Canis lupus familiaris: one gene and its partner. The protein of the gene in region 1 binds, or shares a complex with, the protein of each later gene. Links are inferred from orthologs where the notes say so. Each region holds a gene or a part of one and is shown in the gene's direction. Other genes may lie near its edges.

Region 1 (3,928 bases):
AGACGGTGGCCCTCTGAGCTCCCTCTGCGCCGTCCCCCAGGGCGGGGCTGGCGGCACCAGGCGACCACAGGCTCCAGGACTGTGGCCACACCCAGTGCCCTTTACACCTGGGAGCCTGTGGGGCGCCTCACCTCCCTTCTGTCTCCTGTCCTGTCACCTGAGCTCCCCAGAGACCCATCCGGATCCCTGCCAGCTACTCAGCAAACATTCAGGGGCTCTGGGGGGGCACAGGACACCTGCCCTGGAGGCCCCTTGTCACAGTGCCAGCCGGTGGGAGGACCTGGGGGGCAAGGAGGCTCAGGCCGGGCAGGAAGAGGTGACGGGCATGGGTGCCACCAGGGGCCCAGGAGTGCACCCCAGGGGGAGGCTGTGAGCCTGGCTCCTGCTCCCGGCTGTGTGGTCTGAGCCTGTGCAGAGGGGGATGACACCCCAGGGGAGCCACGGAGGCGGTGCTGACACAGGAAGGGATGAGGCCAGGAGCCAAGGGCGAGGAAGCAGAAGGGCCACACCCCCTACTGTCCCTGCGTGGGGGGGGCCTCTCCCCTGCTGCCTTGGGCTTGGGGGCCCTTGGGGTAGGGCGGCAGGGGCCAGGGCCCAGGAGCCTGCCAGGGACCCCTGAAGACCCGGGCTCCCCCCGCCCCGAGCTCCCAGCAGCCTCCAGAAACACTGCCGCCCCCACCCCTGCCCTTGGAGGAAGTGGGGTGTTTCCAGCACAGGCAGGGGCGACCCCAGGACACAGACTGTGCAGGGAGGGGAGGTGGGCTTGGAGGGAACACCCGGGGTCTGACTTGGCTCCAAGATGATTCTGGAAGGAGAGCCCAGCGAAGGGGCGGCCGGGGCTAGGGGGACGGGTGGGTACAGCAGACACGGGAGCCAGGCCTGGGCCCCCAACCCCTGCCCCGGCTGCGCCCACCCAGCACGACCCGGGCCCTGCGCAGGCCCATGGAGCCCTGAGCCGGGAGCCCCCGTGGCCATGGCCCCCGCACGTGGCCCAGGGCTGGTGGGCAACCACGGGACGCCCCCTCCGGGCAGCTGGCCAGGCCTGGGCGGCGGCCGGCGAAAGCCCCCCTGCTGGAGGCCGAGGCCTGTAAAGGATCACACTGTGGGGCGGTGCCTGGTGGGGCAAAGGTCGCCCGCTGAGCCGCCACCCGGCAGCCAGCTGCGCACAGGGTCGAGCAGCGCGGCCCACGGAGATGGGGGCTTGGGCCCTGCTGCTGCCGCTGCTGGTGGCCACGGCACGGGCCCAGGGTAGCTGCGGGGCGGCGGGGGCAGTTGGGGCGGCGGGGGGGGTGCAGGGGCGGGGGGGTGGGGGGCACTGAGCCTTCCCTTCCTGCTCTCCAGTCTGCGCCGTAAGCAACAACATCTTCGAGGTCCAGGAGAACACGATTCAGAGCGGGCCCCTGGCTCACATCGACGTCCCCGCGGGCCAGCAGGTGACCCTCGGGTCGTCGTCCACTCCCTTCGCCTTTCGGATCCAGGGGACTGAGCTGTTTCTCAACGTGACTCCTGACTATGAGGTGCAGACGGGGGGCCGGGTGGGGCCCCACACAGGGCAGCTGAGTGGCGGGCGCGCTCCTCGGACCGGGGCTGTCCCAGGCTCGGGGTCCGTCTGCTCGGGGTCCGTCTGCGCTTCGCTGGCCGCCCCGCCCCCGCATCATCCACGGACCCCTCTGGGGCCTCCAGGCTTGGTGATGCCCTGGCCCCAAGGGGCATAGGGCCATTAGGGGCTGGAGCTGCCCCTGGACTTAGCGTGGACGCTGGGGACCCTGGTGACCACCCGGCCCCCGTCTGCCCCCCAGGAGAACACCCTGCTGGAGGCGCACCTGGAGTGCAAGAGTGGCAACACCGTGGTGAGTACCCCCATCCCCTGCCTCTGGGTCGCCGCCCCCACCCTATGACATCACAGCTCTTGGGCTTGGACCTCTGCACTCTGTTCTGACTGGTCCAGGGCCCCGCCCTGGGGACCTCACCCTGTGCGGTTTACAAGTGTCGCTCCTGGGCTGGCGCCCCCACTTCCTCCCGCCCAGACTGCCCCGAGGTGCAGACCCCCCAGCACAGAGGCACCTTGCCCAACCGGTTCCCTCGCCCCCACCCCCTCCCCACACCTCTCTCCATCGGCAAGTCCGTGAGCTCTGCCTGAAGCTGGACTCCAGACCAACCAGGGCCTTGGCCACCAGCATCTCCCTTCCGGAAACTTGGAGCTGGCTGCTTGCTCCCCTCCCGGCCTCAGCCAGTCCAGTCTCAGTGTGGCAGGACCATCGGGCCCAGCCAGCGGCGCATCCCCGCCCGGCGCCCCGGCTGCTCTCCCGCTCAGAGGCAAGGCTGAATGCCCCGGGCAGCGGGCAGCGCCAGGTGCCCCAGCCCGAGGCCGCTCCAGCTGCCCTTGAGCCCTCTCCCCAGACGCGCACCTGCCTCCCGCTGTCGCCCCTCGGCCTTCGCTCCAGGACCACCTTCTCAAGGGGCCCCTGACCACTCTGTCCTGAGCTGCAAGCCCGGCCCCCACGCACCTGTCGGCTTGCCCACGGTCCCCGGTCCTTCCGATTTTGTCATTATCTGCAAAGGGACTCGTGGGCATCATGTGACCCCCGATGCCCGCCCTCCCCACAGTCACGGAGCCGCCAGCAAGGCCCACCCAGCGAGGCCGCCGGCTACTTCTCTCTAGCATCTGCCCCTCCGGCCCTTCCTCTCTAGTGTGTTTATTGAAGCAATCTCTCCCCTCAACGTGGGCCTGAACTCCCACCCCGAGATCAAGAGTCGCCCCCTCCTCCCACTGAGCCAGCCGGGTGCCCCTCCCGAGCCTCTTTCAACATATGGGTTCCCCTTCCTCTCTTCCTTTCTCCTCGGGAATTATTTTTGAAGCGATTTGCTCATTTCGCCGTGGTTCTCACCTGGGATTGGCGGTGCCCCAGCCCGGCCGGTAGCCAAGTCCTTTGCCCGGGCACCTGCCGTCCCCGGGCTCGCGGCGGCCCGTGTGTGATGCAGGGTGCTCAGGCCGTGTCCCCGCAGGTGACCCAGCTGAGGGTGATTGTGTTTGTGCTGGACGTCAACGACAACCCACCCAAGTTCCCCTTTAAACTCCGGGTGGAGGACGTGCCCGAGGTGAGAGCCGGGGGGCGGGGGGCGAGGGGCCGGAGAGCAGGGCTAGTGGCCTGGGCCTTGGCCTGGGGGACCAGGGGTCGAGGGTGTAGACACCACTCCCCTCCATCCCCAGGACAGTAAAGTGAACACCACTGTCATCCCTGAGACGGAACTGGAGGCTCAAGATCCCGACAAGGATGACGTCTTGTTCTACACCCTCCAAGAGGTGACCCCGGTCAGTGTCCCCGACCCCCACGCCAACTCTGAACCCTCCCGTCGGGCAGCCCCTCTCCATGTTCCCCAGGGTCTCAGGCTGAGTCGCACCCGCCCCCCCCACCTCCCCAGGGTGCTGGTAGCTTCTTCTCCTTGCTGGGCACCAACCTGCCCGCCCTGCGGCTGGACCGGCCCCTGGACTTCTACAAGTGGCAGAACATGAGCCTCCTGCTGCTGGTGCGGGTGAGCAGGCCGGGACACCCCCCCGCTGCCCCCAGCCCCCGCTCGCAGGCCTGACCCCCGCTGCGCTCCCACAGGACACACAGGAGGAGAACGCCCAGCCCAGCCACACAGCCACGGCCACCCTGGTCCTGGACGTGCGGCCCGCCGACCTCCGGCCCCCCTGGTTCCTGCCCTGCGCCTATTCAGACCTTTACGTCTGCATCAACGCCGAGTACCAGGGGGCCATCCCCACAGGCCACAGACTGGTACTGGGGGTGGGGGGGCGGGGGGTGTGTGGGCTTGGGGCCCTGCGGCCGGGCCAGAACCCCTGGGGACCCGCTGAAGTGGGCCGCCCGCCACAAGAGGCACCCCAAGGCGCCGGGGGCAGCGGGGCAGACGCGGGCTCTAGGCCCCC
Region 2 (4,017 bases), on another chromosome or scaffold:
CCCACCACTGGGATTCTGAAGACAGAAGTTTCATTTAGAGGGCTAGTGCTCACCTTAACCTCAAGACTATTTGTCTATTTTAATCAGGGTTGAAGTTAAGTCATCCACCTTAACCTCAAGACTATTTGTCTATTTTAATCAGGGTTGAAGTTAAGTCATCTTTACTATAGAACAAAAGGTTACTTAGCTCTGTAATTGAAAAAGTTATTTCCATACCGTATTTTCATCAGCCATGCCAGGAATAATGTTAAAGGTAAACTGGAAGAAACGAAACCATGATGTGAGGCTTTGATTTGGAAAAGAAAGTTTCTGAGATCGTGCTACCTGACAGTATGTGCAAAACATCCGGAGCAACTACTGTGTATTTCGTATGCCAAGAGGTCTGATTGTGGGGAATAAGAAGAGGCACAGGCCCAGTCATAAAAACTAGCTGTGCCCTTAGACAATTTCATCTCTGAACTTCTGATGCCAAAAGGCAACTGGAAGATCCTTCCAATTTTGAGACATTGGATCCTTAGGTGTACATTTTAAGCTTTGTCCATAGAAGTCAAGAATTAGGTCAAACCATGCAGTTTTATCATTATTAGAACAAAGTATGAAGGTATTTTGTTTGTCCATTGTCAAATTTAGTTATGTTAGAGTATAAATATCCATGAGTATGTGATTGGGCTGTTTTGCTTTTGTACTATATCCTATCTGGCATAGAGCCTGGGACATGATAAGTACTCAGTTTGTTCAAATGGTTATTAATGTGATTGCAGTTACCAGCGGAATCCTTTCTACTGCCAGGTATGATGTGTTGAGCACTATATATACCCTCTCAGTTAATTCTCAGCACCACCCTAATGTGGTATCATTGTCCCCTACTTTGGGCTTGGAAATAAGGCTCAGTGTGGTTAAGAAACCATCCCCCCGCCCCCCAAAAACAAACAAAAAAAAACAAACAAACAAATTAGTAGTGAAGATAGGATTGCAATCCTGATCCTGTTCCTAACCCCAGCTGTGTAAACCACCTCATTTCCCCTGTAGTCACCATGAGAAGCAGTTAGCCTGCTTCACTCACAGACATGGAATCTTTTGTGCAGATTGTGGATCCTGCATGCTCATGGGTTTCTTCTGTTTGCATAACTGGACAGCTGATCTGATACATGAAAGCCTTATGTCTTGAAGCAGCATTGTTGTCCGTGAGTCTGATGGCCATCTGATGCTGGCCAAGCTGTGTGCAAATGGCATAGTAAGAACAGTAAGTATGGGGACCTCCATGGGAAAGGTGATCCCAGAATACCATTGGACCTAACTGAGGGGCAAACCTCTTGAGGTTACCAGTACCACAGTTTCTGAAAGGTACCTGATTCTTATACCAAGAGACTATAGCTAGCCCTTTTAGATATCCCAGTAAAGACTCCTGTCTTCGCAGCAAATAGTTGCTTGAGCTTCAGGAATTAGGATTTTTTTTTTCTTTTTTTTTTTTTTTTTTTTTTTTTGAGTTCTTCTTGACACTTACCTTTGTCTGAATATCATGGTTCTGGCTAATCTGGGGCCTCTGCCCAAGTCATTCAAACATGCACTGAGCACTTATGTAACTTATGTAGCAGCCATTATTCTGAGGGCTGGACAGAGCCAGGTTTTTGGCAAAGCCAGTATTTACCCCGCTTTAGAGAACTGTTTCTAGTAAGGAACAGTCACCCTTTTTCTATAAAGTATTAGTAAGCATTTTAGGCTTTTTAGGCCATTTATGATTTCTAGCACATGTTTTCTTTTTAAGTCCTAAAACAAAACAAAAAAAAACTTTAACCATTCTTAGCTCAAGGACCATTATGCTTATGCACACCATGGACTAAATGTGGCCATCCATAAGTTATAGTTTGTAGGCCTTTGGTTTAAAGGAAAGCAACTCTAAGCTCTCTACAAGTTGGGAAGGGCTATTTCAGAAAGGAAAAATTACTGAAGATCTTCACTGTGGAATTCGATCAAGTGGCCAGTTACATATGCAGATTTCTAAGATATACCCCAGACTTAAATCATCAATTAAATGAACCACATCTATACTTTCTCAATTCCCCAAATGTTCTTTGCCTACTACAAGCTCGAGAACCGTTTGAGAGGTTTCTTTTACTGGTCCCAATAACTCTGATTAGGCAGTACTGTTGCTTGGCAATAGAGAAAACCCTATTGCTCAGCTGCTGCTTGCTTTCCCACACCTGTTTTTTATAGCATAGCAGTTCTGTTTGCCAGCACCAAAATAGCCTTCCATTTTTCATGGAGGTTACAGATCAAAATAGCTTGTTTTGAGCATTTGTTGTATCTTGGTGCTGTGCCAAGTTCATCTGCATCATATCATTCATCTTTAGATACCTTGTGGAGAGAGTACCATGATTTCCCTATTCTAATGAACAAGCAAAAGCTTAGAAAGGTTAGCTCACTTGCTAGAGATCACAACTAGATAGTGGCAAATCTGGGACTCACAACAAGGCCCCAAGTTCAGGGTTTCTCATCCTCAGTATTACTGGCCTTTCAGGCCTGAAATTCCTGTTAAAGGAGACCACCCTGTGCAATGTAGGCTGTTTATCAGCAACCTCAGCTTGTACAGACAACCCCCCACTCCAATTGTGACAGCCAATAAGGTCTTCAAAGGGTTTCCAAACAGTACCAAATATCGTCTGGGCAGACAAAACAAAAACAAAAGATAAAAACCAACCAACCATCACCACCATGAACACTCACCACCCCTGGTTGAGAATAAATGCTCTCCTCTCAGGTCTGTATCCTTAAGTAGTAGGGTTACTAGTAGTAACTACTAGGTTATTACTTCCCAAATCACTCCTCAGAGCAAATACTTACCACTCTCCTGCTACAGGTCTCATATGGGGCCTTCAGGGTGAGCTTTTCTGGGTCCAGGATAGAAGTACAGTTCAACAATTCAAAACTAAATGGATCTACAGAAGCCAGAGAAAATGGCCAAAAAGTACATTTCAGTGACAAAGTAAACCAAAGCAACACAGTCAAGACTGCCAATCCATTTCTAAGCTACTTCAAATCACTTTGTTTTTTATTGTCCCATCTGGATGTTATGACCCAAGTTTTGAGAGATGCTATAATTTGCAGCTAAAAATTTCCCATTGGAGAAGAAATGGGTAGGAAATATCGGAAAGGGAGACAGAACATGAAGACTCCTAACTCTGGGAAACGAACTAGGGGTGGTGGAAGGGGAGGAGGGCGGGGGGTGGGGGTGAGTGGGTGATGGGCACTGAGGGGGGCACTTGATGGGATGAGCACTGGGTGTTATTCTGTATGTTGGCAAATTGAACACCATTAAAAATAAGTTCATTATTAAAAAAATAAAATAAATAAAAATTTCCCATTGGATTCTGAGAGAAGACGAGTTTTTAAGGAAACAAGGTCTCCCACTCCTGGTGACATCATGCAAATCAGGGACCCCTGTGGTATCATGGGAATTGGATGCCAGTTGTTCCAGAGTATGTGGCACCTGAAAAATGGGGCTAGCTTTGAGGCAAGATTAAGAATATACACATTACTTACCCACCACAGATGCATGCCATTTTTTGGTGCCAAGATCCCTTGGAAATTCCACTGTCATTTTATTTTCATGGCAAATGACAGTACCTGGAGAGCAAAGAAAGCATTTGGGAGTATCTTTGAACCACAGGAGGCAGGATTCCTAAAAAAGTGTATGGGCGCATCTCCTCTCCAACAGGCATCAAGGAAGGATACCAGTTGAGAGAGGCAAAGCTTGACCCCTATTCTCAAGTAGCTCACAGGTTCGTGAGAAAGATCACTACAATGCAAAATACTATAAGGAAGGTATTAATTAAATGCCTGGGGCTTTCTGAAGTTTTCCAGAGTTAAGCCTAAAATAGGGTTAACCATGCATACTTATATGACTAGAACCTTGACGGTGAGGCTAATGGAGGTGGAGATGATAGGTCTGTAAAGAACTGGAGAACAAATGTTGTGTCTAAAGACTTTCCAACTTGAAGTTTAAAAAACGTCCTACAT

What was found. The genes of interacting proteins can lie anywhere in the genome.
Region 2: CDHR5 (region 1) and ANKS4B share a complex: the UniProt entries of both Homo sapiens proteins name them as parts of the IMAC/intermicrovillar adhesion complex. The link is inferred for Canis lupus familiaris from reciprocal best matches to the Homo sapiens genes CDHR5 and ANKS4B.

Annotation. Positions count from the first base shown.
Region 1 is NC_049239.1:26,066,409-26,070,336, reverse strand, and holds the start of CDHR5 (cadherin-related family member 5), read left to right. Parts: upstream 1-1,127; 5' UTR 1,128-1,193; coding exon 1,194-1,248; intron 1,249-1,341; coding exon 1,342-1,517; intron 1,518-1,799; coding exon 1,800-1,850; intron 1,851-3,006; coding exon 3,007-3,099; intron 3,100-3,211; coding exon 3,212-3,313; intron 3,314-3,423; coding exon 3,424-3,534; intron 3,535-3,608; coding exon 3,609-3,779; intron 3,780-3,928. UniProt on the Homo sapiens protein: Intermicrovillar adhesion molecule that forms, via its extracellular domain, calcium-dependent heterophilic complexes with CDHR2 on adjacent microvilli. Thereby, controls the packing of microvilli at the apical membrane of epithelial cells.
Region 2 is NC_049227.1:24,464,793-24,468,809, reverse strand, and holds the start of ANKS4B (ankyrin repeat and SAM domain-containing protein 4B), read left to right. Parts: upstream 1-1,216; 5' UTR 1,217-1,243; intron 1,244-2,841; coding exon of another isoform or gene 2,842-2,936; intron 2,937-3,540; coding exon of another isoform or gene 3,541-3,624; intron 3,625-4,017. Other genes in the region: ZP2 (zona pellucida sperm-binding protein 2 precursor), read right to left, coding at 1-15, 217-258, 1,064-1,216, 2,842-2,936, 3,541-3,624. UniProt on the Homo sapiens protein: As part of the intermicrovillar adhesion complex/IMAC plays a role in epithelial brush border differentiation, controlling microvilli organization and length. Plays a role in assembly of the complex.